2 linked regions of the Danio rerio genome follow. The protein of the gene in region 1 interacts with the protein of each later gene in a pairwise test. Links are inferred from orthologs where the notes say so. Each region holds a gene or a part of one and is shown on either strand. Other genes may lie near its edges.

The links.
Region 2: the proteins of sh3gl1b (region 1) and mta1 interact in binary tests that used the Homo sapiens proteins (3 or more experiments, as listed by UniProt). The two-hybrid records come from large-scale screens. The link is inferred for Danio rerio from reciprocal best matches to the Homo sapiens genes SH3GL1 and MTA1.

The regions. Positions count from the first base shown.
Region 1 is NC_133183.1:20,717,180-20,721,009, reverse strand, and holds part of sh3gl1b (SH3-domain GRB2-like 1b), read left to right. Parts: intron 1-1,013; coding exon 1,014-1,172; intron 1,173-3,752; coding exon 3,753-3,830. UniProt on the Homo sapiens protein: Implicated in endocytosis. May recruit other proteins to membranes with high curvature.
Region 2 is NC_133192.1:39,376,884-39,381,244, reverse strand, and holds the start of mta1 (metastasis-associated protein MTA1), read right to left. Parts: upstream 3,029-4,361; 5' UTR 2,738-3,028; coding exon 2,710-2,737; intron 1-2,709. UniProt on the Homo sapiens protein: Transcriptional coregulator which can act as both a transcriptional corepressor and coactivator. Acts as a component of the histone deacetylase NuRD complex which participates in the remodeling of chromatin.

The sequences.
Region 1 (3,830 bases):
TCACTGCTTGTTTAGCCTGCAATAATCCATTCAGTGTAAAGCTGCACATTTAAACATTAAAAGATTGTGATCTCAGTTCAAACCCCCCCAGCATGAATTATAAATGATGGTGATTTGCATATATTTATTAATCCTTCGAAGTGCTACATTCAAATCTGCATTTGATTGAGAGAGATTCAGTTTTTACACTTTTTCAGTTAGTAACAAACAATTAAATAACACAGAAGTACTGGGATAACAGTTTATAGTTCAGAAATAAACACGGTAAAGGTTAAAATCGTTGTGTAACCAATGGGTGGCGAAAAACAACCATCAAAATGATGTCACTGAATAGTTTTTCAAAAATGTTTATAACCTATAATGAAAGATGAAGTTTTATATGTGAATTGTTGAACAATTAATTGAAAATAAATATGTTTTGTTGTTCAAGATCATTTTCGTACTGAATATTTTCCTTTTTTGCAGCGGGTTCTTTCTTGATATTTAAGTTCTGCGGTTAAACCAATGGTTTTTGCAGTAATATTTTTGTATAAATGGAAAGCAAATGACATTTGTCCAATCTCTTTTTTTCTGATTCGAAAAATGGTCTGATTCGTGACTCAATAACCATAGTGTGATCCGAACCAGGAGATTTGTGATGCGTTACACCACTACTAACGCCCTAAAAAACACATAAAAAAACTTACATATATTGTACGAATGGTATAACAAATTATCTTTGCCATTATAAAAACTGCCTCATGCCTACATTGAAGTGATGAGATGTCATGACTTTACATGATAAACCAATTTGATTACAAATGATAAATAATGACCTTTTTTGGAATATTTATGTTTTGATTGCCTCAATTTTCAATAACACAGAAACATCAATTCATTAAAAATAATTATCCTGATTTGGGCTAGTTGAGTTAAAAGGAAAGTTGTCTATTGCTATTAATAACTATTGCTATTTTTAATGTGGTCTATTCTACACCACTTGCATTGAAATGAAGATTTTCCCTCCTTCTCAGCACCATTTGAAAAAGCTTGAAGGACGCAGGCTGGATTATGACTATAAGAAGAAACGTCAGGGGAAAATTCCAGATGAAGAGCTCAGGCAAGCGCTGGAGAAGTTTCATGAATCTAAGGAGGTGGCTGAGATCAGCATGTACAACCTTCTGGAAACCGATGTAAGGATTTACCGTCTGACAGCTTGGTGCTTAAGTTGGTGTGTTTTTTGTGCTTTTGTGTTCCCTAGGGGTTGTGCTAATCCTATTAGAAGCGCTGATTAATTCAGTGTTTGTCTTTTAACACCTTGCCTTACTGATTTTGTATCTACTCAGCTATAGCTCTCAGTTAAGATATCTGTCAAAGGCTGTCACTTTAGAATGAGCAGTATTAAAAATGAATGTTTTTCTTTTATGTTTGACTAGTCCATCAGCGGGGTCACGACAGGTAATCCAATAAAACTGAAGAGCAGCCAAAAAAATCCTCTTTCTTCTAAGCTGTAGTGTTTATTGAATGTTTAAAGATGATAGAGCGCCATCTGTTGGAGAGCAATTTCATTCAAAGTCAACCCTGCCATAAAAATATATATAGTTTTCACCAAAAAAGTGAACCCCTTAATGGTTTTTCGTGTAGGCTTGTATTTTACAGCAGGGGTTCCCAAAATTTTCAGCCCGTGACCCATAAATAATAATTTCAGTAACTTGACCCCCACTAACCTCGGAGGTAGTGATAAACATACAAGCATTGCACACAATGTTGCACACACATACACACCAATAGGCTTATATAAACACTAGCATATTGACAACATAAAAAGTGCAACAATCTAACAATCATATTATTTTTTTGTTATTTATTCATTTGTTTAATTTAATGTTAACCTCATATAATGAGACTGGTGGGCACAATGTTTACTACACAACACTATTCTTGGTTTAATTATGGAGACACTTGAAGATTATGTTCTATTTTAAGTGGTGTAGATTTTATAATCTTTTTTTTTTTTAAACGTTTAATTTAAATGTACATTAGTGCCATAAGGGTGTCAAAGTTTAACATGGTGCTGTAAAATCAGTCTGCTGCAACTGACGCTATTAATATTAAATATTACAATAATGTTATCATCCCAGGGGTCGCAAAAATTGAAAGTATGTAACTAGTAAGTACTCTTTTTATCCTCTGTAGGTTATGGATAATCTATGGCAAATTTAATAGTACAATCAAGTTTGTTTAACTTTTTTAAATCACCAAGTGACCCACATTGTCCTACGACTTCCTAGGGGGTCCCGACCCCACTTTGGGAACCACTGTTTTACAGTACTGTAAAAATACTCAAAAATGTCTCTGTAAATTTGTCAAACAATTATGTTTGATTGACTAAAGTCACACAAGTGGCAATTTCACATCTGTCACATTCAAAACGGAGAGGTGTTGCATCCATAATGAAGCTATTTCCCTATAAATGCAAAAACATAACGTCAGTCATTTTTGTTTCATAGTAAGTAATCTCTTTTCCATTTGATTAGCATCATTTCTTTAGGGTTGTGCAGTTAAATTCACCGAATTTTAAAAAGTGTTTTGTATACTGTACATTTGCATACTTTTTGGTTACATCCATAACAGATGCTTCTTTTCCTTATTTAAAATCTAAAAAATGTTTACAGATTGATATTTTTCTGACCCCATAACTCTCTTGTGAGTTGTTTTGGAAAATATAAACAGTTGTTTCATTATAATATTAATATATACTTTCTGTGTGAATTTATGTTTTGACATTTTATTTCAAATTTCACATACATAGTCCATAATTGCTCTGGTGCAAAATGGCAAAAACTTAATGACAGAATAAACATTGTAAATTGAAGTTTATGGAGGTGCTATTTTGAACTCCAGTGATACATTTAAAGTAAAACACTGAAAATGATGGATGGTTTGGTTTTAAACCATAGAAAATATTTTTGTATTAAAAGCTAGTAGTGTAGATTTAGTAGTCTATAGTATATATGCAGAGTTAGTGTTTCTTCCCATACTGATAAACTTCTGGTGAACGGTTAATGTGACTTTTTATTTTAATTTTTTACTGTTCATTTCACAGCATTGATGTTGTAATATAATCAGTTAAATAGACTAAAGCATTTATTTAGTTGTTCAAGCGTAAACAAGATGAAAAGCCATTTACACGCACACGCCATTTAAAAAATGAAAAAATGAAATGAAATCTTTTTTTTAATTTTTCTTTTCAATTTTTCACCATGAAAAAGAAAAACACCTCGTATTTCAATTTTCGTCTTTAAATTTTAAAACGAAAATTAAAAAACGGTTAATTTTTCATTTTTCAATATCGGTTTCTAAAATGAAAATCCAATGTCCAAAAGATACACTGACCCACGGTGCAAAAACATTTATTTAATGCAGTGCCTCTTGTACATTCTGAGACCTACTTTATAACATATATCAATCAGGTAAAGATTGTATATTTAAAAAAAAAAACAGACCTTAAATGCGCCAATTTTGTAATAGTGTACAGTTCGCTGGAAGCACTTGACCCAGGTTACTGACAAATTAAAAGACCTTCCGCATACTTCTGCATAGACCCTATTGACTCAAGGCTTCACAAATTACTCATTAACTAAGTTATTTGTTTAAAACGGTTGTTTTCCAGTGTTATTTTTCACGTTACGTTTATTACATTTCCACGTTTCATGTTAATGTACATGAGTAAAAAATAAGTTTGTGTTTCTATATTTACTGTGTGTGTGCAGATTGAGCAGGTGAGCCAGCTGTCTTCACTGGTTGAGTCTCAGCTGCAGTACCACAGACAGGCTGTTCAGATTCTCGAT
Region 2 (4,361 bases), on another chromosome or scaffold:
TTCCCTATTATAGAATTCAAAGATTGCAGGTTTCTAACATTTTTCTAAATATTCGTTTTGAAAAAAGAAACTCATAAAAGAATGGAACCACTTGAGAGTGAGTAAATATAGATTTTTTGGTCAACTATGCCTTAAACCCTTCAAAATAAATTCCACCATTTATACCAGTTCATCTGTATCATTAGCTTTTGGGATGGATATACTGCATGCATCCACATTGCACCTTTTCATAAATATAGCAGATATATCAAGAGCGCTTTAAAAAAAAATAAAAAATAAAAAACATATCAATTAGTGCTGCACAATACATCATTTTAGGAACGATATCGCAATGTGTGCATCCACAATAGTCACATCTCAAAGATATGCAATGTTGAGTTGACTTTGCAGTGTAATTTTTACATTTACATATACAAAACCATAATGTATGCACTGTTTATTTCACTTTAATCATTCTTTTGTTGCATTTATCTCTGCTTGTAGTTTGTTTATTGTATGTTCTGATTCAGTCGCCTACAGAATCATCCCAGTCAATCAAAATGAATACATTAGGTAACACTTTAGGGACCAATTCTCACTATTAACTACCAGTAGTTGCTTATTAGCATGCATGGTATTGAGATACTGGCTGCACATTAGTTCTTACAAAGCACATCTTCTGAATGATATTATTCTACCCAACACCTAAACTACCTTAATAACTATTAGTAAGGAGTTTATTAAAGCAAAAGTCAAAAGGGTTTGCAAAGAACAAGAACTGAACCTTAAAATAAAGTGGACCCTAATTCTTTTCAAGTATAACGAAGTAAATCACAATATATATTGCAATGTCAGATTTTTCCAATATCGTACAGCCCTAATCTGAATACCATATACTTGATTCACAAACACTAGTCACATCTATGCAGAGCACTAAGAATTATAACGCATTAGAACATATGTAAATTCACTCATAATGCTCCTGATAAAAGTTCATATTGTCTTCATGTTCAAGCAGCTCTCCTACATCAACAGCAAACTTTCTAGTCCAAATACTCTCATTAAACCAATAATTACACACCGGACACTGTAAGCACACATTCATTGCCTGAAAATCAACAGCAGAGATCCTAATGGATAATTGATACCAACAGAGAATCAGTTCCTGAGCCAAGCGCAATCAGGATAACCCGAAAACTGCGCAAAACTACTGACGTCGTTCAGTCACACACATGTTGTTTCAAACCTGTATGACTTTCTTTCTTCCACTGAACACAAAAGGAGATGTTAGGCACAATGACAGCCTCGGTAACCATTCGCTTTTCATTGTATGGAAGAAGCAATGAAAGCGAACAGTGACTGAGGCTGTCATTCTGCCTAACATCTCCTTTTGTGTTCCGTGGAACAGTGGGCACATTTTGGGGTTAACTAGGCTATTCCTTTAACTGTGTATCTGAGCTTCAGATAATTACACATAATTGTGAACAATTTTTATGTGTGACCCAAATTAGGGGTGGAAAAAAGCAGTGTGTTTTGACAAATTTGTAAAAACACATCCCAAATAAGTTTATTCTTTAACACCAAGCGTTATATAGTCTATATTTGGTATTTTTTCATACACCACAGCTTCTCACTGAGACGGACTTCAAGTATTAGCTTTACCTCTATATGCCAAAACTTTCTCTGTTCATATTACATAAAATATACTTTAAAATACTGAGGTAAAGTTGGTTTTATATTCGCACATTCATTCAGTGACATCTCCATACATTGTTTACCATGGTACTTTGAATATTCCGGCTGAAATCACACGTAGGCATGACTTTAAAACAACATTAGCACTATCTAATTGACTGTGAGCAATGTTGTACTTTGATAGTCTTTGGCTGCTAATATAATTTCACTATTTAGAATTTGCAATTAATATTTTTCTGAAATCATATTATTAAAGATAAAGTCTGAATGTAGAAATATTTTAAAAACTTTACATTAATTTTAAAGTCAACGGTTTGAACATCAACCATCATCTACCTTCAAAACAGTGTTTCTAACTACTGAGGTGACGTTTTTATATTTACATGAGGTTTTATATTTACATATTCAGTGGACTTGTGAGATGCTTCATATAGTGTTTCCCATGATACTTTAAATATCTGGTCTGAAATATGACTTCAAACAATATTAGCACTATTTATTGACTGGGAGCAATGTTGTACTTTGATAGTCAATAGCTGCTAATGTTTTGCCTATTTAGAAATTGCAAATACTGTTATGAATTTATATTTTTAAGGAGAAAGTCCGAAAGTGCAAATCTACAACCAACTTTAACTAAATTCTCCAAGCAGCCAGAGTCCCTAAAGTGAGGCGTGCTCCTCAAACTTTAACTTTAAAAGCTCAAACGCGTTTCTTCGGTGTAAATTTGAGAGTTGCCCGCTTGTTACTAACACTCAATGACACTTGCACACGCTACATCATGCTAACGGCAGTAAATGTTGCGCCAGTTTGTAGTAGCGTAAAACATTCTCGGGGTCCCGAAACGAGAGAGTGCCCCTCTTCATCTCGCATTCACCATCCTCATCCTCCTCTCTCACTGTAGTCCCACAGTACTTTAAAAAATAAAAGAGGAAGGACAAACCTAAAACTGCTAAGCCCTGTTGCGAAAAAGCATGAACGAGAGCGACACACATAAAAGGGGCACGACATTTTTTTCAGCCAACCATGATCTCTTACCTCCGACCCGGTACATGTTGGCTGCCATGACTCTGCCCCCGGTCCTGCCTGGCGTCTCCAGGTAGGGCTTTCTCTCTCTGCCGCCGCCGCTCAGTGCTGTGCGCTGGAAAATGGTGGATTGATCAATACGAAGCGGACCAGAGAAGGGATCTTAAAGAGACAGTGCACATATTTTGATGAAGCCGCGTTCCACGGGCCGGTGTGCGTGTTCGCGTTCGGATTCGCCCGCGTGTTTTGGAACACCTTCTCAACAAAGCGGGATCCTTCACTCCGGAGCAGAGCACAGAGTCGGGCCACGGAGCTGGAGCGCGCGCGAGAGGGAGGGGAAGGGGCTCTGTGTGGCAGCATCACTCGCCTTTCCCCGCCTACTTCCAATGGCTGAACCACTGCTGTACTACTTTGGACCCGCTAGAGGCGGAACGAAAGAAATAAACAACTGTTGCTTTTACAGGAGTTTGAAACAAAGATATAAACAAGTGATGGAACGCAGGAGCAAAAAAATAACTACATAATGTCTAATGAAACTGTGAGGCGAGCATCAGACATGTTGGACTTGCTTTCAGAGAACAAAGAGTCCATCTTTGATTTATTCAAGTGCTGATATTTTGTAATGCTGTAAGGTTGCTAGGGTAATGTGGTTGGTTGTGAGGGTGCGAGTAGAAAGTTGTTATATATTTGTAACTATAATGCACTTGTGGTGATAGGTGGTTCAGTGGTTAGCACTGTCGCCTCACAACAAGAAGGTTGCTAATTCGAGTCCCGGCTGGGTCAGTTGGCGTTTCTGTGTGGAGTTTGCCTCTCCGTGTTCGCTTGGGTTTCCTCTGGGTGCTCCGGTTTCCCCCACAGTTCTTGCGGTATAGGTAAATTGAATAAACGAAATTGGCTGTAGTATATGGTCTGATCCCAATTCTATTTTGTGCCCCTTAACAAAGACTTTTTATTTAAATTTTGTAGGGAGAAAATTAATGGGGAAATTTCTTCCAGAACCAGCAGTGTTGGCAATTGGGTTGGCCCTGATGCATTCTTTAGTGTTGCTGAATGGTTGCTTGTCGGCAGAGTCAAAAGAGCACCATCCAACATCTCTGATATGGCTATTTTCAGTTTTAAAGGGCACCTATTATACCCATTTTTCAAGATTTAAGATACATCTTTTGTATCTCCACAGTTATCTGTAAAGTTTCAGCTCAAAACACCCATCAGATTATTTATTATACCATTCAGATTATTGGGATTTTCTGCTCTGAACACTATGTAGCTGTTTTTGTTGCCTGTGCCTTTAATGCTAGTTCTCCCCGCCCACCATTCCCACATGCCTGTTAGAGTGTGCGTTAATCTCCACCTTGGCTGCGTCAGATAAACAGCACAGTGACTGACATGAAGAAAGCAGATCTCACGTAACGTTTGTAAGAAATACTACAGTAAGAACTTTTCCAATGATTATTTGATGCATTTGTTGTGAAGTTAATTCACACCTTTCTGCAATGATGAGTCAGATTTTTTAATCCTGGTTGCTTTGCGGATGTAGTGTCTTGATGATATGATTATACGCGTTACTACAGGGACATGTTACAGTTTTTCTCAGTCGCTTTGGTGCATTTCTCACAACACTATTTACATTTGCACAATAGTTAATGCAGTTCTCAAAACAATTA